3 linked regions of the Elephas maximus indicus genome follow. The protein of the gene in region 3 purifies or fractionates together with the protein of the main gene of each other region. This does not show direct contact. Links are inferred from orthologs where the notes say so. Each region holds a gene or a part of one and is shown on either strand. Other genes may lie near its edges.

What was found.
Region 1: the proteins of MIA2 (region 3) and MIA3 purify together in Homo sapiens (affinity purification with western blotting; 6 studies listed by BioGRID and IntAct, counting the BioPlex papers as one, with this or other methods). This does not show direct contact. The link is inferred for Elephas maximus indicus from reciprocal best matches to the Homo sapiens genes MIA2 and MIA3.
Region 2: the proteins of MIA2 (region 3) and PREB purify together in Homo sapiens (affinity purification with western blotting; 3 studies listed by BioGRID and IntAct, with this or other methods). This does not show direct contact. The link is inferred for Elephas maximus indicus from reciprocal best matches to the Homo sapiens genes MIA2 and PREB.

The regions. Positions count from the first base shown.
Region 1 is NC_064842.1:12,274,181-12,282,284, reverse strand, and holds the start of MIA3 (transport and Golgi organization protein 1 homolog), read right to left. Parts: upstream 3,124-8,104; 5' UTR 3,089-3,123; coding exon 2,956-3,088; intron 1-2,955.
Region 2 is NC_064830.1:45,497,945-45,505,972, forward strand, and holds the start of PREB (prolactin regulatory element-binding protein), read right to left. Parts: upstream 3,097-8,028; 5' UTR 2,874-3,096; coding exon 2,739-2,873; intron 2,188-2,738; coding exon 1,995-2,187; intron 1,828-1,994; coding exon 1,607-1,827; intron 1,421-1,606; coding exon 1,340-1,420; intron 1,241-1,339; coding exon 1,116-1,240; intron 917-1,115; coding exon 743-916; intron 597-742; coding exon 524-596; intron 333-523; coding exon 173-332; intron 17-172; coding exon 1-16. Other genes in the region: PRR30 (proline-rich protein 30), read right to left, coding at 6,470-7,684.
Region 3 is NC_064828.1:51,518,859-51,526,359, reverse strand, and holds the start of MIA2 (melanoma inhibitory activity protein 2), read right to left. Parts: upstream 3,016-7,501; 5' UTR 2,978-3,015; coding exon 2,863-2,977; intron 1-2,862. UniProt on the Homo sapiens protein: Plays a role in the transport of cargos that are too large to fit into COPII-coated vesicles and require specific mechanisms to be incorporated into membrane-bound carriers and exported from the endoplasmic reticulum.

The sequences.
Region 1 (8,104 bases), on a different chromosome or scaffold from region 3:
GGGAGCAGTAAACACTGTCGATTTCATTTACAGCCATGTTGTGTTTTCTCCCCAGCACCTGATTAATCTCGCAGGAAGGGATACCGTACCATCTTATGGATCCAATCACGTAACAAGGCGATAGTCGCTGAAGGTAAATAATGTTGACTGTATTCAACATTAAGACGATTTCAAAACAAACAAAGGAAGAAATACTCTTGTTTCTATTTTTCTATAAACACAATCAAAAGTGGACATCACCTGTGGTAGGGACCAAGCAAAACTGTGGGATTAGGTCAGTTACCTTCAGCTTCAAATGCAGGACTCAAACCACACTCAATTTGAAACTGGTAGAAGCAGTATTTGGGGGGGGGGGGCCAAATACACAGTTTGTAATGCACATGTAAAATGAAATGAACAGTAAGTGCGTTTATGTAGCGAAAAAAAAAAAAGGATGCAATGGAGATGTTTTTTCTAAAAGTCAATTAGCAATAAAATACATAAAAATGTATTCGAGGAACAACAATATAGATTCAGAGGCTGTTTCCTTTCTAAAGCTAAAATGTGACTCTTAATACATGTCAGCATCCTAACTCAGATCTAATAGGATGAGAGACCAGGCTGAAGGTGATGGGGGGTCCAGCAGAACTGGAAACGGCAGTGTTACTCTTGTCACCCTAAGAATAGATCGTGGAGGATTTATAACACTATGTCCAATGACCACATAATGCACGAGTGCTTCCGCTATGTGAAAAGCACACAAACACACCTTGCACCAACACCTCGCTGACTATTTCATACAACACCGCACAGACCCAGGCCCTGCTCTTGCTGGTGCCGGTTGTGTTGGGTCACATCTGTTTGTACACACATCATTTCTCAAGTTACTGTACAACTGTGGGCCCTTCCAACACCATTTCTTTATCCTGAGGCCTCAGCAATGATATGAATCTGCAGGTAACTTACATCGAGGGACCCAGGTAGGAGAGTGCTGGAAAGCAAAGGATAGCAAACATTTTGCCATACTCAACCCTGCTTGCGAATAGCCTGGTTTTGTGCTGAGAAAACTGAAGGAAGAAGTACTAGTGGAAGTTTTGCTGCCTTTAGGGTGCTTGTTTACACCAGCCCTAAGGTAACCTCCAAGGAGGGCTTAACACAAATTAGCAATCGCATCTTCTTGACTGGAAACCCTGGTGGTGTAGTGGTTAAGTGCTACAGATGCTAACGAAGAGGTCGGCAGTTCACATCCTCCAGGGCTCCTTGGAAACTCTATGGGGCAGTTTTATTCTGTCCTATAGGATCGCTATGAGTCTGAATCGACTTGACAGCAGTGGCTTTTTTTTTTTTTTTTTTTGTCTTCTTGAATGGTGCTGTAGTGATATAACTCTTCCACTCGTGAAATTTGTTTGCAAATAACACCAATTTGAATATAAGTAGCAAACTGTAGGCCTCTTGGCCTTTTCAGAATGAATATTTTTCTATATGTATTGCTTACAATTTATGAACTACCATTTCTGCAGCGATTGTCAGTAAGTCCCAGTCCACCAAACACGTAGGAAGGGATTCCAACAACACAAGTGTCTAAAGCCAAGGGTGATTTGGCTTATAAGATCCTTGGAGTATTTATTGCTATTAATTTAACAACCCTCTTCATCTGAGTCTGAAGATCTCTGCCCTCCACACTGCCCACAATCCAGGACTGGGGGACAGTTTCGCTTCCTGCGCACTGGAGAGGCGGCTGCCTATCTCAGGTGGCTGATGCTGATCCTCCGCCCCTTTCGAGATGGAGATGTTGGCCTTCCTGCTGCCCTGACAGTTTGCAGGGAGGCTTCCATGCGCAGAAATGACAGGATTGAGGCAGAGTCGGGGCGGAGACCTTGGAATACACTGCGTGCGTGGACTCCAGGCCGGTCCCAAACCTAAACTCCAATCGCTGTTCAAAAGGCAGTAGGAGCCCAAAATGCCAGTAAAGCTGAGGGCGCAGGGACAGCGCCAGTGCGCCTCTTCCGATCCTCACCGTCAATCTGCCACTAGAAAGGCGCCCACCAGCCCTTGGCGCATCTGCCCCCGCCACTGCACCGACCGAGGTCCCCGCGGCGGGGGCACGAAACCTCTCGGTTGCAGCGTGGGAAGCCCAGGGCCCGCAGGGCGCAGCCCCATCTCCTCTCCTACCCGTGCAGGGCAGGGTAGGGGGCGGCCGGGGGCCACGCCGATCCCCGCCTCGGTCAGCAAAGGAAAGAGAAAATGCCGGCAACAAGTGGGTGGTGCAGCCCCCCACAGTCAGGACCGCCTGCCCGGCGCCGGCAGAGGTGGAAGGGAGCAGCTCAGGGACCCGCGGCTCGCCCACTCCCGCGCTGGGTCCGCACGGCCCGCGCCCCCAGCCCCCAGTCCGCACGGCCCGCACCCCCGGTCCCCAGTCCGCAGGGCCCGCACCCCCGGCCCCCGGCCCCCAGCCCGCAGGGCCCGCGCCCCCGGCCCCCAGCCCGCACGGCCGCCGAGCCCCCGGTCCCCAGTCCGCAGGGCCCGTACCCCCGGCCCCCAGCCACCAGCCCCCAGTCCGCATGGCCCGCACCCCGGCCTCCAGTCCGCAGGGCCCGCGCCCCCGGCCCCCGGCCCCCAGCCCGCACGGCCGCCGAGCCCCCGGCCCCCAGTCCGCAGGGCCCGTACCCCCGGCCCCCAGCCCCCAGCCACCAGCCCCCAGTCCGCATGGCCCGCACCCCCGGCCCCCAGTCCGCAGGGCCCGTACCCCCGGCCCCCAGCCCCCAGCCCCCAGCCCCCAGTCCGCATGGCCCGCACCCCCGGCCCCCAGTCCGCAGGGCCCGCGCCCCCGGCCCCCAGCCCCCAGCCCCCAGCTCCCAGCCCCCAGTCCGCAGGGTCCGCGCCCCCAGCCCCCAGCCCGCACGGCCGCCGAGCCCCCCGGCCAGCGCCACCGCGGAGACCCCGGGGCCGCACCCGCCCGCCCGGGGGCGCACTCACTGCTGCATTCCTCATCCGCGCACAGCTTGTGCTCCGAGAAGCGCCGGCCCGGGCTCAGGTTTGGCTGAGCCGGCAGCCACCAGGGCGGCCCGAGCAGGAGCAGCCAAAAGAGCAGCCCCGGCGCCGCAGCCATGTTGTGGTCAACTCGGGAGCCGGTGACGCCGAGGAGGCCCGGGCGGGGCGGGGGGCGGGGGCGGGGCGGGGCGGGGGCGGGGTAGGGGGCGGGGCCGGGGCGGGGCCGGGCGGGGCGGGGCCGGGCGGGGCGGGGCCGGGCGGGGCGGGGCCGGGCGGGGCGGGGCCGGGGACCGATACGGGAGGCGAGGCCGGGCGGCCGGGGCGGCAACGGGAGGCGGGGCCGAGGGGCGGGGCGCGGGCGGCAGGGGGCGGGGAGGGACGGTCCGGGGGCGGGGCCGGGACGGGCGGGCTGTCGCCGTGGAAAGGGCTCCCGGCTGACACGTCAGCAGGGTCTCTCGGGGAGGGTGAGGGGGACCTGAAGGAGGAGCATCGGGAGCTCTGTCCGTCCCCCCGAGGCCGCCTCCTGGTGTCGCTGCCTTGGCAACCGGGACTCTCTAGCCTCTCCCTCGCCCAGTCGCCTGCCTTGGCCGGGTCCCTCCCCGCGCGACCCTCCGCGCGATTCCTTTCGCAGCGCACCCCCCTCTGCGCGCTTGCACACCCCGTCCCCGCGCCGTCCCAACTACAGGTCCTTTCTGGGACCCTCTCGCAGCTTTTGATTCGTGGTCCGTCCCAAACCAGCTTACCCCCACACCCCCTCTTGGTTTTGTACCTCCTTTTCCGAACTACCAAGTCCCACCCAAGGTTTGCCACTGTCAACCCCCGGCTTCCGGCTCCTCCCGGTTTCTTGGGACTCCCCTCCCCCCGCCCCAGATGCCCTAGTCTGATTGGGGGTGTAAATTAGAGCCAGGGGCTTCCTTGGTCTTTATTTGGGCCTTGGGGGTGGAGGTGGTCAGTACCCTACCTTCCCCTCCATCCTCCCTCCCCTAGCTGAGATCTTGAAATTCTTGGGTCTTTATTCTTAAGGAAAGTAGTAATTTAATTCAACACGAATTTGCTGAGCTTCCATCTTATGCCAGATACTGGACAAAGCACTAGGGTGATGGGAGGTGGGGAAAGGAAGAGGTGAAAAGATAAATAAGACATTCTGGCTCTCCTCTAAAAACCAAACACCAAACCTGTGGCCCTCAAGTAGATTCTGACTCATAGCGACCCTGTAGGACAGAGTAGAACTGCCCCATAGGGTTCCCAGGAACGCCTGGTGAATTCAAACTGCCAACGATTTGGTTAGCAGCCTTATCTCCTAACCACGGAACCACCAGGGTTTCCGCTCTCCTCTAAAGAAGCCCACAACTTAGTAGAAATCAACCAACATAAAAACGATGAAATAATCTATGTCAGAGTAGGGACAGGCGATTAGGCATGCAAATGGTTGAACTCTGAGCTACTAACGAGAAGAGTGGCCCTTCAAACCCCCCCTCCCCAGAGACTCCTCGGAAGTAAGGCTTCCCTATGGGGTGCAATTCTACTGTGCACATGGGGTCACCTTGAGGGGATCACTCCATGGCAGCAGCAAGAACATCCATTGCAGAGCAGTGGTAGTTCAGCGGCAGGGTTCCCACCTTCCATGCAGAAGACCCCATTTCAGTTGCCATCCAGGGCACCTCAAGCACAGCCACCGCTCCTCTGTCAGTGGGGGCTTGGGTGTTGCCATGATGCTGAACAAGTCTCAGCACAGCTTTCAGATTAAGGACTAGGAAGAAAGGCCTGGGAGCCTACGTCCAAAATTGAGTCAATGAAAGAAACACCTGTCTTTGCTGGGCTGTGAGGTCCGGGAGGTCCGGGCCAGATGGCAGTCAGATCCCATTGTGCATGTGGCTGGGCGTGGACTCAATGACATCTAACAACTTTTACTGAGTGCTTTCTTTATGCCCAGATCCTAGTCTAAGATCTTCATATGTATCAGATCAGTCCTCACACAATAAAACCAGTTGACATGGAGTCAACTCCAACTCATCGTGATCCCGTGTATTTCAGAGTAGAGCTGTGCTCCACAGGGTTTTCAATGGCTGATTTTTTAGAAGTAGATTGCTAGGACTTTCTTCTGGTCACCTCTAACCCAGTAAAAACTTCTAAAAAATCTCCAACCTTTCAGCTAGCAGCCAAGAGCACTAATCATTTGCACCACCCAGGGACTCCCCTCACACAATAGTGCCGCACAGTGGTGGGTTCTGTTGCTATCCCTATTTTAGAGATGAGTAACTTGAGGCATTACACACTTAGTGAGTGATGTAGCCAAGATTCAAGCGCAGGTAAATGCTCCCTGCCCCCTTTTAATCACAACAGGGGAAAAACCTATTTGTACTTTCTGACTAGGGAAGCAAAAGCTTGTCTAAATCATGTTTTTGTTGTTGTTGGTTGCTGTCAAGTCAATTCCAACTTGTGGCGGCCCCATGTGTGCAGAGTAGAACTACTCCATAGGATTTTCAAGGCTGTGACCTGTCAGAAGCAGATTGCCAGGACTTTTTTGGTGCCTCACGGTGGATTCAAACCACCAACCTTTTGGCTAGTGCTCAAGTGCTTAACCATTTGCATCGCCCAGGGATACCATTTAAGTCATAATATAACTGAGGTAGCTACATGTGCAATTAAAAAAAATAAAGAGGACACAACCGTCAAGTCAGCCGCAGAGCAAAGGGCTATGATGCTCTGGCCATGAATGGAACGGCTGGCATCTGTCTATGGACGGTGGCTTCTCACTACAGCCACGGTTATTCACCAGCCAAAACCATCACTTGGCTTCCCACACTAAATGAATTCATTAAAAAAAAAAAAGCAGAGCAAAAACAAAAGGAAAGAAGTATGGCTTGTCCTTGAAATCCATAATATTTAACAAAAGAAGAGATGGGGAAGAGATGCCCACAGATATTTGTCTGCAGAGGCCACGAAATATTCCATTGGTCCAGCAAAGTTCACATGCTGTCTGGTGAGAATGTACAATGGATAAGTTCATGAAGAGGGACTCTCCATTCAAGTAGTAATGCCATTAGGATTTCTTCATTTCTTTTCTACTATGTGTTTATTGGAACCCTGGTGGCACAGTGGTTAAGCATTTGGCTGCTAATCAAAAGTCAGCAGTTCAAATCCACCAGCCACTCCTTGGAAACCCTATGGGGCAGTTCTACTCTGTCTTGTAGGGTTGCTATAAAAGGGAATCAACTGGACAGCACAGGTTATGAGTATGTGTTTATTTGTTTTAGAATCTTAAGTGTGTCTAATAGGCACCTCCAACTTAGTATGTTGAAAATAAAATTCTTTATTCCCTCTCAAACCTCCTCTTTTCAGTCTTCTCTACCTTGGTAAATGGCAACTCCCATCTTTTGTGCTCAAGTCAAAAACTTAAAAGCCATCCTTGATTCCTATCTTTCTCTATCATCCAAGTCCAACCCATCAGCCAATCCTGTGCACTCTTTGATTTAGTAGCTTTATTGAGCTATAATTGACATATAATTAACTGTACAGATTTAAACATACAATTAGATAAGTTTTGACATACACCCATGTGTATATCTGTGAGACCATCACCACAATCAAGATACTGAATATATCCATCACTCCCAAAACAGGCCTTATGCTTCTTTGTAATCTCTCTCTACCCTCTCCTGTCTCCAAGCAATCTCCCATCACTATAGATAATGTTTTGCAATTTCTAGGATTTTATATAAATGGAGTCATACACCTGTTAGGTGCTGTTGAGGCAGTTCTGACGCACAGCAACCCTATGTCCAACAGAAGTAAACACTACCCGGTCCTGCGCCATCCTCAAAGTCTTTGCTATGTTTGAGCCCATTGCTGCAGCCACCGTGTCAATCCATCTCATTGAAGGTCTTCGTCTTTTTCGCTGACCCTCTACTTTATCAAGCATGATGTCCTCCTACAGGGACTGGTCCCTCCTGATAACAGGTCAAAAATATGTGAGACGAAGTCTCGCCATTCTTGCTTCTAAGTTACATTCTGTCTATACTTCTTCTAAGACATACTTGTTTGTTCTTCTGGTAGCCCGTGGTATGTTCAATATTCTTCACCAGCACCGTAATTTAAAGGTATCAATTCTTCTTCAGTCTTATTCATTGCCCAGCTGTCATATGCATATGAGGTGACCGGAAACACCATGGCTTGGGTCAGGCACAGCTTAGTCCTTAAAGTGAAATCTTTGCTTTTTAGCACCTTGTTGTTGTTGTTGTTAGGTGCCATCCGGTGGGTTCTGACTCATAGTGACCCTATGCACAACAGAACAAAATACTGCCTGGTCCTGCACCATCCTCACAATCATTGTTATGCTTCAGCTCATTGTTGCAGCGACTGTGTCAGTCCACCTTGTTGAGGGTCTTCCCCTTTTCTGCTGACCCTGTACTTTGCCAATGATGATGTCCCTCTCCAGGGACTGATTCCTCCTGACAACATGTCCAAAGTATGTAAGACGCATTCTCCCCATCGTTGCTTGTAAGGAGCATTCTGGTTGTACTTCTTCCAAGACAGATTTGTTCTTTCTTCTGGCAGTCCATGACATATTCAGTATTCTTCGCCAACACCACAATTCAAAGGCATCAATCCTTCTTCAGTCTTTCTTATTCATTGTCCAGCTTTCACATGCGTATAATGTGATTGAAAATACCATGGCTTGGGTCAGGAGCGCCTTAGTCCTCAAGATGACATCTTTGCTTTTCAAAACTTTAATGAGGTCCTTTGCAGCAGATTTGCCCAGTGCAATGCATCGTTTGATTTCTTAACCGTTGCTTCCATGGCTGTTGATTGTGGATCCAAGTAAAATGAAATCCTTGACAACTTCAGTCTTTTCTCTGCTTATCATGATGTAGCTTATTGGCCCAGTTGTGAAGATTTTTGTTTTCTTTATGTTAAGGTGTAATCCATAATGAAGGCTGTGGTCTTTGATCTTCACTAAGTACTTCAAGTGCCCTTCACTTTCATCAAGCAAGGTTGTGTCATCTGCATAACGCAGGTTGTTAATGAGTCTTCCTCCAATCCTGATGCCTCTTTCTTCTTTATATAGTCCAGCTTCTCAGATTATTTGCCCAGCATACAGATTGAATAAGTATGGTGAAAGGCTATAACCCTG
Region 2 (8,028 bases), on a different chromosome or scaffold from region 3:
CACACCGGAACACTCCCTGCAGAAGGGGTAAGGGAAGATGTCAACAGGCAAAGGGCCTTCACAGGCTGAACAACAGGACCCTCAACCTACTCCACTGAAGGAGCAGCCGGCTATAGTTCTCCAGGGGATGAGTTTCTGCTACAGCTAAAGGTGGGGTGGTACAATGACTCACGTCGTGAGGGCAGCAGGTGCAGCTGGCATCGGCTATCCACAGCCACAGAAAATAGGGCAGTTTCGTGAGACCCAAGGAGCTCTGGACCACGACCCTTCTCAGGTAGAAAGGCCACATCTGTCACCACAATGCCATGGGCTTCCCTCACATAGTAGAGGCGCTAGGGGCAGGAGGAGAAATAATGAGGAAGGCTCAGTTGGGTGGCTTTCTGCTGGAAAACATGCCCCAGCCCCCAGAAGGCTTTCCCGCTACAGGGTGGGCCAGACTCCTTTCTGCACACTCTAGATAGAGGGAGGCCAAGTGTCCCCACCCTAAAGAGCCCTCAGGGCTGTGCCCACCTTCACCCATTACCTGGAGAGAGAAAGCTATGTAGATGGCAACAGAGCCAGTGACCGTGCCCAGGCCTAAGAAGGTGCCCGATTCACTGCAACAAATAATAAAGTGCTCACTGTCCTGGAGGCCTCTGCAGAGAGCCTTGTTCCCAACAGTAGTCCTCAGGGGTTCAGGCAGGACTCCTTCCCAAGCTCCCCAGGCACCCCCACACCCAGCCAAGCCAGCACTGCCTCACACCTGATGCCGAGGCAAGAGATGACTTCGTGGCCACAGGACTTGGTCCGAAGGGGCAAGAAGGTGGAACCATCCCAGGCTGTGAGGTAGCAGGGTGGGGGCTGGCGCTGGCGCTTGTGGGGAATCTGCACTGTGAAGAGTCGCAGCCTCGCAGGCTGGTCTGGAACCTGCCCAAACCTGTGTCCAGGAGAGAGGCTGCTCAGCTCCTGGGGCCAGCCCAGCTGCCCGCAGAGCTTTACGCCCTCCTGCGCTCTGGCCAGGCCTCGGCTGACACCTAGCAAGGGCACAATCCTCCCCAGCTTTCCCTGAGTCTTCCCCACTCCCCCCCCCACATCTGGGCTGTGCCTCTTTTAGCCACCCTCCGGGGTCTTCACACCTGCAGGCCTGGTAGCGGTAAGGCATGTTAGAAAAGGTGGGTCCATTCTCTTGCCAGTGCAGCTGTGTCACCAGCTGATCCTTCTGCCACACGGAGGCCTTAAGGTCCCAGCCCACAGTTACCAACTAGTCAGGAATAAAGATGCCAAGGATGGGCAGTTAGGGGATCCACTTACTGAGCAAGCAGCATAACCACCTACTTTCTCCACCTCCCCACCTCCTCACCTTGCCATCAGGCCCCAAAGCCAGGTCCTCAATCTCCCCTTCGTGGGCTCTGAACTCCAGAACTTTCTTCAGGCTGGGTACCTGCAGCCAAACCCCCGCTATGGTTAGCCCAGGCACCCGGCAAGAACACTCTTTTCTCTTTTAATGGCCACTCAACGCAGGCTGCACTCACACGTTTCTCAAAACCCACGTGCAGTTTCTCACAATTTTGGCCTTGCTGCTACTGACTCACCTGCCCTAACCGTCCCCCCTGCCCCCAAACCACACCTGCCAGACACGAACGTAGCCATCCGTCCCTCCAGTGGCAAGCAAGGTGTTATCATGGTTGAAGCATACAACTTTCTGCAGTGGATCACTGCTGAAGTCTGTCTGCACCGCCTGCAAATTCTCAACACTGAGCTCTACCCCCTCACAGTGGGTTTCCGCTCCAGTTTTCTGCTCTGCTGGGGCCACCCCCTTCCTTTGTCGAGGTCCTTGGTCCTTAGAACCTGCAATACAAACAGCCTGCCAGGTCCCAGGCCTCTACAGCAGTACTAGCCTTTCTCCACATGGCAGGCTTCCACTCTTTGCCACCACAGCCCCACTTCTTTAGAGAGACCAAGAGGAGAGTGATCTTCCTCATCTCTTTCCAAAGAGCTAGAGAGGCACTCCTCACCTGCCTTCTCTGCCTTGTTGTTTCTCTTCTGCTGACGGGTCTGGAAGCGCAGGAGCTGACAGTGGGCATCCTGCCCTGCAGCAAGGATGTCACCAGCCAGTGCCAAGTTCATGGTGGCCCGTGTCTCTGTGTCATGGGAGTGTAGCAAAGAGGCACTCAGGCGCCCATTAATCCGCTCTAGCTGCAGAAAGTGCTGAGAGAGAGGAAGCCAGGATGAGCAAGGTTCAGGGGTACTCGGACTACACCTAAGGGCAAACTGACATCTTTCTAGTCTGATGCCTTACTCCTCTGCTTACTGCACTTCCTAGTTCACAAAGCTTTCTTAAGTCCTCATTTGGGCCTCAGAAACCTGTACAGCTGCCAGGACTGGGGATATTACCTCCGGAGTGAGACTCAAAGTGAAGGAACCTGGCCTACGACCAAATGCGCCGTTCTCGTCGCTGCTAGTAGGCAGATGGACTTGTCTATGTGGCCTCCCGGGAAAAGGACACGATAAGACCCCGGGGCTGCTCCTGAGGTCGTAGGTCGCGCCTACGCAGCGGTGCGCGCAGTTTTCACTTAACCTTAGGAGTCTCTCAACGGGCTGGACTGAAACTCGCGCGGGGGAGCCCGGCTTCCCGGGGATCCCCACGGAGGTGGGGCAGGGCCAGAAGCTGAGATACGGCGCGTTCCCGTGACCCGCGGCCACCCCGGAATCGCCCTTAGCCGTGGTGTAGCCCGGCCCCAGTGGCCCTGCGGTCTCACCACGCCATTCTTTATGCCTGTCTTCGCGGCGCCTCCTCCACCCGCCGCGATGAGCAGCCCGGCGCTGGAGTCCACCTGAAGCGCGTACAGCGGGAACGGGGCCCGGTACAGCTCTGGCGCCCGGCGCCGGCCCATCCCGCCCGGCGCTCTTCACTGCTCACACCGCAGCTCCTGGGACATGCCTCGCCCGGCGATGAGCTTGGGCCGGCTGCCGCCTGGAGGACCCCCGGCTCCTCTCACATCCGCAGGGCTGCCGATACTCTAACCACACGCAGGGCCCGTTTCCCTCCCGGCCGCCGAACCCCGGCTCCAGCCGCGCAGGGCGACAGCGCTCCGCTCCAGCCGCTGTCTCCGCGCAAGTGCAGACCCGACAATACGCGTCAGCACTACTCGGCCGGGTGACGCAACGCGGGCGCCGGTCCCGCCCCCTGCGACCCCGCGCTCCGCCATCTTTGTGCGGGGCATGGGAGGTGCTGCTTCCTTGAAGGGAACGCCCTTGGTGATTACGGAAAAGAAGAGGTGGGGTTAATAAAGATGACTAGTTGCCAGTGGAGTTGGTTCTGGCTTATGGCGATCCATAGAACTGTGCTCCATATGACTTTCATGGCTGTGACCTTTCGGAAGCAGATCGCCAGGCCTTTCTTCAGAGGTGCTTAAACATTTGGACTCCTAATAAAGGCTAGTAAACTTTCAAAAAAGAAATCCTTGGATTAAAGCTTTTTATACTTCAAGGATGAAATGACTCATACAAGCGCACTTTTTAACCTAGAGAGAAAGTGATTTGTCCGAGGTCACATACCAGAAACATGACCTGTGGCTCTCTCCTCTTAATGAAGGCAGCATGGACTTTGGTTTAAAACCAGACAAGCCAAAAAAACCAAAAACCAGACCCGCTGCCGATTCCAACTCATAGTGACCCTACAGTACAGAGTAGGACTGCCATATAGGGTTTCTAAGACCGTAATCTTTTGTAGTGACATCTATGCAAAGATTTTTGCATCATGCTTGGCAGAGTACAGGGTCAGCGGAAAAGAGGAAGACTCTCAACAAGGTGGGTTGACACAGAGGGTGGGTTGACACAGAGGCTGCAACAATGAGCTCAAGCATCACAAGGGTTGCAAGGATGGCTCAGGACCGGGCAGTGTTTCGTTCTATTGTGCATAGGGTCGCTATGAGTCAGAACCGACTCGACGGCACCTAACAACAACAACATGCAAAGATGTCACCTTGAGGACTAAGGTGTGCCTGACCCAAGCCATGGTGTTTTTTTTTTTTTTTTTCACATGCATGCAAAAGCTGGTGGATGAATAAGGAAGACCGAAGAAGAATTGATGCTTTTGAATCGTGGCCAAAAGAACGAACAAATGTGTCCTGGAAGAAGTACAACCAGAATGCTCCTTGAAAGCAAGGATGGTGAGACTGGGTCTTACATACTTTGGACATGTTGTCAGGAGGGATCAGTCCCTGGAGAAGGACATCATGCTTGGTAGAGAATCAGCAAAAAAGAGGAAGGCCATTAAGGAGATGATGGATTGACACAGTGGCTGCAACAATGGGCTCAAGCATAGCAAAGATTGTGAGTATGGCACAGGACCGTGCAGTGTTCCATTCTGTTGTACATAGGGTCGCTGTGATTCAGAACCAATTTGACGGCACCTAACAACAACAACAATCTTTTTTTTTAAATTGTGATTTAGGTGAAAGTTTACAGAGCAAATCAGTTTCTCATTATATAAGTTAATACAGAAATTGTTTTGTGACATTGGTTACCAATTCTGAGATGTGTCAGCACTCTCCCCTTCTCTACCCCAGGTCCTGTTCCCATTCATCCAGTTTTCCTGTCCCTTCCTGCCTTCTTTCCTGTCTTTGCTTTTGGGTTGGTGTGCCCATTAGTCTCATATACATGATTGAACTGTAAAGCACATTTCTCACGTGTGTTATTGTTGGCCCTATAACCCAAAAACCCAGTGCCGTCAAGTCGATTCCAGCTCATAGCAACTCTATAGGACAGAGTGGAACTGCCCCATAGAGTTTCCAGGGAACACCTGGTGGTTTCGAACTGCCGATCCTTTGGTTAGCAGCCGTAGCACTCAACCGCACTAGGGTTTCTGTTGGCCCTATAGATCTGTCTAATTTTTGCCTGAAGGGTGAACTTCAGGAGTGACTTCAGTACTGAGTTAAAAGGGTGACTGGGGGCCATACTCTCAGGGCAAGGCTATAATCTTTATGGAAACAGACTGCCACATCTTTATCCCGTGGAGCGGCTGGTGGGTTCCAACCACCGACCTTTTGGTTAGCAGCCAAGTGCTTTAACCGTTATGCCACCAGGGCTCCTCCAAAACCAGAGAAAATGACCTTCAAACCCCGAATCCACTGCTTCCTAGTATGAGGAAGACACTATCTATCTTAACACCTGTAATGGATTGAATTGTGTCCCCCCAAAATATGTGTATCAACTTGGCTAGGCCATGATTGATTGTGTGATTGTCCACCATTCTGTCATCTGATGTGATTTTCCTATGCATCCTGTCTCTATGATGTTAATGAGATGGGATTAGCAGCAGTTACGTTAATGAAGCAGGACTCAATCTCCAAGATTAGGTTGTGTTTTAAGACAATCTCTTGACATAAGAGAAGTGAGCAGAGACATGAGGACCTCATACCACCAAGAAAGCAGCACTGGGAGCAGAGTGCGTTCTTTGGACGCGGGGTCCCTGCACCTGAAAATCTCCTAGACCAGGGGAAGATTGAGGACAAGGACCTCTCTCCAGAGCTGACAGCGAGAGAAAGATTTCCCCTGGAGCTGGCGCCCTAAATTTGGACTTTAGCCTACTACACTGTGAGAGAATAAATTTCTCTTTGTTAAGGCCATCCACTTGTGATATGTTATAGTAGCACTGGATAAGACAACACCCATCCTCTGTGGGTGGCAGAGGCAGGAGTCTTCCATTCCCTTTTTCTGGGCTTCTTTCCCATTCTTGAGCACTCCCACTCCTGAGCAGGTTTGGGGGTGGAGGCTACCTACCTTCTGACACCCTGGCTTCTCTTAGGGCGAGAGGCTGGGGAGGTAGCGTGGCTCCGAGTAGGCCTTTTCTCTGCCTGACACCCCACCCACCCACTTGGGTTTCTAGTCTCCTGTCTGAGGACCAGTGTATTCCCCTGTGAGAAGACTCAAGGATTGCAAGAACACAGTCTCTGCTCTCAGGACTGGTCGCCTCAGCTGGCACCTAAGGTGCACCCAAAGGAATCGGCCCAGTGGCTGCAGCTCTGTGAATGCCAGTATCAGTCCCATGGAGATGAATTAACGTATGAAGGCCCTGGTAGAGCATAAGCTTATCTCAGGCACTCAGCCCTTGTGGGGCTCTTGCTCTCCTCAGGTCCATGATATGGGCTTTCTTTTTCCTTTGACTACCCCTAAGAGGACCTGTTTGGAGAGTAGAGCTCCTGTAGGTACAGCCATCCATTCTTAGTAGGACACAAACATAAGTTGTGCAGGGTCAGGCTTTATTGGATATGCTGAAGGTTGGAGGGGGCTTCCAGTGCCCTTGGTCCTCTTCAGCCAGGGGACAGCAGATTCCACAAGGGGCTCCCAGGGTTCAGAGCTGGAGAACACACCTGTCCTCCAGCCAGCCAGCCCTTCAGGGTGTCTCGGGGACTCCCAGAGATTTGGGGCCTGGTGGGGAGGGTGGTGTTTGAAGGAGGTGCTCCGGGGACCCTCCGTGGCTCTGGAACTAGGATGGCGACTTTAGGGGGATAGGCTCTGAAGAGACAGACCTCTTTGGGGCAGAGGAAGGCTTGGGCCTCGGAGAGGCAGTGGCCTGTCTTGGTGCCTGGAGGAGAGGCCCTGAGCTGGGGGCAGAGTTTCGTGATTGAGGGCCTGGCGACCTGAGGCTCCCGGTCTGGGAGGATGTGCCTGGGGCTGGATCTGCCTGGGCCTGAGCCACTGGGGTTTGAGATGCTGGTGCCCGAGATGCCTGGGCTTGACACCCAGGGGCCTGAGCAGTCTCGCTCTGAGGTCCTACTTCCTCCGGCCTTCTTTCTGGCAACAGATGCAAGGCCCTGGCCTGGCCCCGAGGTAGGCGGAGGCCGAAGCCGATGCCTATGCGAAGCGGCCCAGACTCCTGGCCCTGTGCACAGGGCAGCAGTTGGGGGAAGGCCAGCAGCCGGGGCCCAGTCCTGTACCTGGGGATGGGGCAGGAGGGACTGCGTGGACGGAGACACACCAAGCATATGGGATATTCCACTACTGGGGCCTGGCCGGCTCTGCCTAGCCACAGGCGCTGCAAAAGCAGTAGACGCAGGTCGTGTGCGATGCGGCGGTGCCCCAGATGGACGACCAGGGCCTGGGCCAGGGCTCCTGGGTCCCTGAACTCCGCAGGGTCCCTCTCGCTTGCCACGCATCCCCCCACCACTCCAGGGGACCTGGAGTCCCTGTACTGATGCAAGTGCCATGTCTGCCTGGAAGAGTGGACCCCAGAAGGTAGGCTGGGGCTGGGGGAAGTAAGCGTGGAGCTAGGTGGGCCTTTGGGATGGGATGGAGAGTAGCAAGGCAAGTTGGGGAGAGAGGAGTTCTGTGGCTGAGAGGGAGAGGAGGAAAGCAGGTTAGATGGGGAGGAGGACCCTGGAAGGGAGAGAGAGGGATAATTCTGGTGAAAGAAAGTGGGGGAAGTTGGGAGAGAGGAAGAGTTCAGATGTGGGACAGAGTCAGAATGTGAGTCAGAAGAGAAGTGTGAGTCCAGAGAGCAGAACTGTGGGGGAGGAGAGAAGGGTAGCTGGGATTGGGGGGAAGAGGGAAGACGTGGATGGGAGGGAGGAAGTGATTGATGGGGAGGGAGAGGCTGTCGGTTGGGGAGAGCAGAGTCCGCAAGTTGTGAGAGGCCCTGAGAAGGGTGCCCAGGGGACACTGCGTTCTGTAGCAGCACCTGGTCCTTGTTTTGAGGCAACATTGCCTTGAGTCCAGAAAGGACCTGGGTGACAAGACCAGGGATTAGAGACCCAGCAAAGGCAGGACTGGAATCTCAAAGCCAGAAGTGAGTGAGAAATCAGGCCCTTTCTCTATGTGCAGAGTGTGGCTCCAGCCTGGGGCAGGTGTTGGTGGAAGACCAAAGGGACACCTTGCCCTGCAGCACCAGGCTCTCTGGGTACTCAGGCGGGCGCTTGGGTCTAAGCGTGGCCTCTCACTTCTTTGCAGTCAGCCATCGAGGAGGGATGTGTGGGGACGGAGGATCAGAGCTGGCTCTTGGGAGCTGAGGGGCAGCAGCCGTTATCTAGGTAGGGTGGGAGGAAGGCA
Region 3 (7,501 bases):
TCCATCACTCTTCACGGACCACTCAAATCTATTTCCTCTATGACACATCCCTAATCATTCTAGCCTATTCTGATTGCCCCTTCTCTGAACTTCAATATTACCTACTATTCTTACTACATTGTATCACTATTTAACTGTTTCATATTGACCTGTCTTGTCACCATCCATTAGAATGAAAACTCCTGGAGGGCAAAAGGTTTACTTCACTTTGCATTTGATTCATTTTAGATGCATACCACCCAACCTCAATTCCAGCACATATTAGAACCTCACTAACTATGAAAGAATCGTTACCAAATATACTAGATTTAGTTAGCCCTTCAACATGCAAAGTAATACACATATCTTATTAACCATTATAATTATATGTAAAACATTTTTTATAAAGTCACACAATTAAAATAAAAACATTATAAATGATTATAAATCTGAATGTTCCTTTTTCAAGTTCTGTGTCTAGCTCTAAGGATACTAAAATGAGGTTGTACTATAAAGAAGAAAAGAAAGATAATTATTATAAAACATTGCCTAGTAAACTTTTTATGTTAAATCATATCAAAAGGGTTAAGGACAATCTTACTCTTAAAATTTTTCCTTATAAGGTATTTATATTTATACTAATAATATGTCACATTTTTAAAATTACATGTTGCACATTAGAAATAATTCTTTTATATTGGAGAGATATAACTTATTTAAAGCAACTCTAATATACTAGGATGTAATTTATTTTATGTCATAAAGCTACTAAAAATACATATTCTTCCCTGAGAGACCGAATTACTGGACTGAGGGCTGGGGGCCCTGGTCTCAGGGTACATCTAACTCAACTGGCATAACATAGTTTATAAAGAAAATGTTCTACATCCTACTTTGGTGAGTAGTGTCTGGGGTCTTAAAAGCTTATGAGCAGCCATCTAAGATACTCCACTGGTGCCACCCTATCTGGATCAAGGAAGAATGAAGACAACCAAAGACACGAGGGAAAGATTAGTTCAAAGGACTAATGGACCACAACTACCACAGCCTCCATCAGACTGAGTCCAGCACAACTAGATGGTGCCCGGCTACCACCACCAACTGCTCTGACAGGGATCACAACAGCGGGTCCCAGACAGAGCTGGGAGATGAAGAGAAAAATGCAGAACAAAATTCTAGCTCACAAAAAAAGACTTGACTTACTGTTCTAACAGACTGGAGAAACCCCTAGAGTATGGCTCCCAGACACTCTCTTAACTCAGTACTGAAGTCACTCCTGAGGTTCACCCTTCAGCCAAAGATTAGACAGGCCCATAAAACAAATTGAGACTAAATGGGCATATCAACCCAGGCATAAGGAGGAGAAGGCAGGAGGGTCCAGGAAATCTGGTAATGGGGAACCCAAGGTCAAGAAGGGGAGTTGTCGACACGTCATGGGGCTGACAACCAATGTCACAAAACAATATGTGTATTAATGTTTAATGAGAAACTAATTTGCTCTGTAAACCTTTATCTAAAGTACAATAAAAGTAAATAAATAAAATAAAAATATATATTCCTAACACCAATTTCCAAGGTCCCTGGTGGCACAATAGCTAAGTGCTCAGCTGCTAACAGAAAGGTTGGCAGTTGAAACCTACCACCAGCTCTGTGGGAGAAAAGATCTAGAGATCTGCTTCCATAAAGATTTCACCCTAGCAAGTGGCCATCTAGGATACTCCACTGATCTCACCCCTTTGGGAGCAAGGAATAATGATGAAAACTAAAGATACGAGGGAAAGATTAGTCCAAAGGACTAATGGACCACATATACCACAGTCTTTACCAGACTCAGCCCAGTACAACTAGATGGTGCCCGGCTACCACCACTGACTGCTCTGACAGGGATCATGATAGAGAGTCCCGGACAGAGCTGGAGAATAATGTAGAACAAAATTCTAACTCAAAAAGAAAGGCCAGACTTTCTAGCCTGACAGAGCCTGAGGAAACCCTGAGAGTATGGCCCCCCGACACCCTTTCAGCTCAGTAACGAAGTTACTCCTGAGGTTCACCCTTCAGCCAAAGAGTGGACAGGCCCATAAAATGAAACGAGACTAAAGGGGCATTCTAGCCCAGGGGCAAGGATTAGAAGGCAGGAGGGGACAGGAAAGCTGGTAATAGGGAACCCAAGGTTGAGAAGGGAGAGTGTTGACTTGTTGTGGGGTTGTTAACCAATGTCATAAAACAATATGTGTACTGTTATGAGAAACTAGTTCTGTAAACCTTCATCTAAAGTACAAAAAAAAAAAAAAAAAGATTTCATCCTAGGAAACCCTACGCGGCAATTCTACTCTGTCCAATACAGCTGCTAAGAGTTGAAATAGACTTGACAGCACGAACAATAACAACTGATTTCAATATTTTTACAAAATAAATAAATACAGAAACAATTGCTGTATGATAAATTTTAGAATGAATAAATCATGATGGTTTGAAATAAAAACATTTTTTGAAAACAGGAAAATTCTGATTCTGAAATAGAAACTAAAAAATATAAGGACTTTATATTTATATTGGTATGAATAGCCTATTCATACCAATTGATTATATTTATCTTAAAAAAAAAACAGTAAAACGGCTAATTTGTTTTTGATACATAGACTAAAACCAATAAATTTGCTGATATATTTATATGTCAGACTACTCTTTATCCATTTGTATATTTACATTTAATACTATCACAAAATGCCTTGCTTCCAGCATTTTCTTTTTATACCAAGCTGTAGTTTATAATTGCAAATATTCTTCAATATTAATGCTCATTCTTATCACACACATCCACAATTACACTAGATGTCATTTCAGAGCCTCAATTTAAGAGGAAAAGAAAAAAAGCAAACTTACTTTCACATTCCAAGTCGCCACAGTTTTTAAGGTCTGTCAACAGTTTTGTACTCTCCAGACTCTTTGTCAAAGAAATAACCAAAAGAAGGATTCTGTGAACTCCGAGATTCGCCATGCTAAAATGAACAACCAGGAATTCAAAATGAGCTTTAAACTGATTGTTCAGGTGGTAGATATGCCAGGCAAAACAGAAGATACCCTACTTTCTTCACTAAATATAAGAGAAAAAAAATTGAGTTTTTTTTTTTTTTTTTAATTCTTGGGTAACTACATTTTTTTCTCTCTTTTTAGTCTTAACTTGAGAGACAAACACTGTTCTCAATCTGCAGTGTCAGGTATCCAGATAACACATAACAGTTTAATAATTAACAGGGATTTTTAGTTGGACTAATGTCTTTATAAAGGTGGCCCAGTAAAACTGTCTCACTTAAAGGCACACTGCATACAACAGGATAGTTCTTAAACAGTCCTCCACGAAAAGGTAATCTCTGCCTAACGAAGTCTAAGGAAGATCAGTCAACAAGTATAAACTGAGTATTTGCTGCATGCAAATACCATCATCAGTGGAGAAAGTATATAGTTATATGTAGAAACAGTGATAACTTGTTAAAAGCACAGTTTTTGAAATACCATGATGAAAGTTATTTAAGAAAGCACCCGAATTTTCATATTAAAAAACCCTTCAGTGTTACTGTGAAGGTGAAATTTGTATTTCCTTAAGAATAAAAGGTAAAATGTATTAAGTACTTTGTTTCAGGCGGAAACCCTGGTAGTGTAGTGGTTAAGTGCTATGGCTGCTAACCAAGAGATCGGGAATTTGAATCCACCAGGTCCTCCTTGGAAACCCTGTGGGGCAGTTCTACCCTCCTATAGGGTTGCTGTGAGTCGGAATCAACTCAACGGCAATGGGTATGTTTCAGGTGCTATTTTAAATATTTAAGTGTATGATCTCATTTAACCCTCACACCAACTCTTTGAGCTAGGCAATATTATCATCCCCATTTTTTCATATGAGGAAACTGAGGCACATGGAAATTGGTTAAATCACATGCCCAATGTCACTTACTGAGTAAGGGAAGAAAAATTCAAACCTAGGCATGGTGACTCCCTATACCCTTAATCACTGTGCTTTGCCACCAAGGATCAAGTCATCTGCCATGAAAGATGTCCACTCTGTCTCCAACAATACTGTTCCAGAAACAGCAGCTACAGTATTAATTCAGGTTTTAAAAAGTATATATATATATGACAGAGAGAGATGTCCAAAAGAATGCTCCCTAACACTGTAGGAGTGTGTAGTGTGACTTCAGATGGTATTCACTTTCTTCTTCCTGTTTTTCCATATTGTTTGACTTTTTTTTAAATCAGTAAGCATGTATATTTTAAAATAACAATAAAGCTATTAAAATCAAGTCATCTGAATGTTACTGCCACTTCAAAAGAATCAAAGCCCTGTATTGGAAGCTTATGTGTAAAACAAGGTATTAGTAGATTGGCAGAACCCAGTTACCTGATTTCAAACTCAGGAAGGTATTCTTCTAAGCCTTTCTTTGCTCTACGTTTTCAGTGTGTTTGAGCTTGCTAAAAAACAAAACAAAACAAAACTCACTGCCATCTAACATGCACAAAATCTGTCTGCAGGCTCTTGGCCTCCAGTTAGAACACAGCACTTGTGTGGCACCACACTCCCCTCTAGTGCCTGAAACAAACACATACTCAGTACCTGAGCAAATGTTGGCTTTTAAGCCTCTAAAAACATTTTTGTTTGTTGTTTCCAAGAAGATCCTGACTGTCAGGTCTAAGATTCTTGCACCCTTAGAAAGTATCCAATAGACCATGCAGATGAGGGCCTGGGTCTATAGTCATTTGGCTTGAAGTCAGAGCACAGCATAGTTGTACACATACATATACACAAAAGTGTAGATTAGTTTCCCGAATACCATTGCAAATGTGTAAATTATGCTGTCAAAGAATTTAAAGAAGGATCACCTCTTTAGCTTCAAAATATGGTACAGGATTATTTGTGTAACTTGCATTACCAAATTCAATACAAATAAAAAATATTTAGTAATTAATGGAACGTAACTATCCTTTTTTTTTTTTTTTTAACTATCCTTGTTTTGTATCCTTTATTAAAGACATTGTGGCTAAATTCTGAACTAATTCATTTAATCATGTTCTAAATTAAGAAAGACAAGAGACCAGCGAAATTTAAAATTGTCTATTGAGTGACTTGAAAATTTGAACCAAACAAGATCTGAGCCAAAAACAAGAGAAAAATCCTTGCCAGGGTACTAGTCGGGAGAGATTTGTTAACACTAGAAATGCTCCCACTTTTCCTGGTAATGCACTCAGATGATCTCACTTTATGTTCAGATCATTATCTAAATATAACCTAACAAGCTATCTGAAAATGTGGTAGCAAAATGTTAATTAAGGGAGACCTGGTGGTGCAGAGGTTTAGCACTCAGCTGCTAACTGCAAGGTTCCCGGTTCAAACCCACAACCACTCTGCAGGAGAAAGATGTGGCAATCTGCTTCCATAAAGATTTACAGCCTTGGAAACCCTATGGGGGTAGTTCTATTCTGTTCTGTAGGGTTGCCATGAGTGGATGGTGGTGGGTTTGGTTTGGATTGTGGAATGTTAATTAACTGTCCATCAGACCCAGGTGGAGAGGTTGGTGGGTGAAGAGAACAAGAGCATTAAAGAAGCCAAAGTATCAATTTTCACTATAAAAAACAGTGGCATTAATTAGCCAGATGTTATCTAATTATGGATCCATTTGTAGATTAAGTGTTGTGTCAATATTCAAATACAATGCTACTGCTGAGGAAGGTGCCACGGTAAAACAACTTAGACAGGAATACTGATCTGGAAGACCTATGGCAGTCTTCACAAACCATACAGGAGGTAAGAGTACTTACTGCACAAAACTAAACAATGAATCATCAAAGCCAATGTTCAGTATCTTAGAGATAATGGCACAGAGCTTTTTTTTGCATGAAAACAAAGACGTAACCATGAATATTGCACTTCTACTGCTTGGTGATGTTGTCTTGGGCACTATATGGTACCGTCTTCTTAGCACTTCAGATTTCCTAAAGTGGGAACGTATTTTCTTCAACCAGCTACCTGCAACTCTGACAATTTACAGGATAGAGAAATTTAATTAGAAGTTACTTGGGATAAGCGGAAATCCTGGTGGTGTAGTGGTTAAGAGCTATGGCTGTTAACAAAAAAGTTGGCAGTTCAAATCCACCAGGTGCTCCTTGGAAACCCTATGGGGCAGTTCTACTGTCCTATACAGTCGCTATGGGTTGGAATTGACCCGATGGCAATGGGTTTTGGCATAAGCAGAACTGATAAAGCTGGGATGTTTTTACTAGGGATGGGGAACAAGAACAACGGAGCCTTTGGGAACGGTTGCCATGGTAGACAGGTGCACAACAAGAGAAGATGAGGCCCAGGAGAGATAGAGATTCAAACTGGTGTGGAAGATACGGAGATGGCCCCCACATTCCCTCTGTAAATTACGACTGTCTGCCCAGCTGCAGGGCATGCAGTTAGCAGACAGCCTCCAGCAGAGAGCTATTTCAGGATCTGCGTCAGCTGCCAAGAGCCACCTTCCTAGGACAGCCTGCATCTAGTAAGGAGAAAGTTCAAAGGCAGGGCCATTTCAGCCTTATGTGGGACACCCTGCTGGGCATTTCTCACCCCAGAGCTTCCTGCTGGGTTGGCAGAGGAGGCTTCATTGGGCCTGCACTGAAGGCTGACTTCTCCTTCTGCCCAATCCAGCTTTCTCTTTCCTTTCATAGATGTTGATCCCTAATAATCATCTTAAAAAGCCAAACTCTTGTCTCAGTATCTGCTTCTAAAGGACCCAACCTCAGAAGCTGGTGATTCACAGGCACAAAAGATGACAGAACATGCACATTTTAGCCTATGATCTGTTCTAGTCACTCCATGCTCTTTATTGTTTTTGTGTTGCTGAGGGCTGTGTTGTTCTGCCCACTTTTTCTCATTCCGTCTGTATTAGAGTCCCACCAGGAAGCAGATAGTCATTCAGTTTTGGCAGGCGGGAGGGCATGGGGGTGGGGGGTAACACTCCTCAATGATTAGGGAGATTTTAATGAAAGCCTGATTTACAACAGAGGAACCTTAAGCCTTCAGTAAAGAACTTGGCCAAGAGAACATCACTCTTCTCCCACCTTCTGACTTCCTGGTGGTGACTTCCATGGAGCACGTACAGCCAGATGCCACAGGATAAGGGAATCTTTTGAAGCAGTCATAAAGGTCAGCTTCCAGGGACAAACAGCAGGTGGTAAGGAATGGAGAGAGAATTGAGAGGGGCAGAAAGAGAACGTTCTGCATGTTGTCATTATTCCTTTATTACGTGTTTTAGAATAACAGTATGCAACATCCTCTACACCCAAAATGATACGTGTGTGATATCTGATGATAAGGCAACTGAATTGATTAGTCTAGTCAACCAATAAGAAAGGAAATTATTTGTTGACCACCAGCTTCTTACCAGTGGGCTTAATATTTCACACACAAATCTCACCTTCCAGGATACATATTATTTATTAAATGCCCATGACGTATCCGGTACTCTTCAAGGGACTGGGCATACAGGAG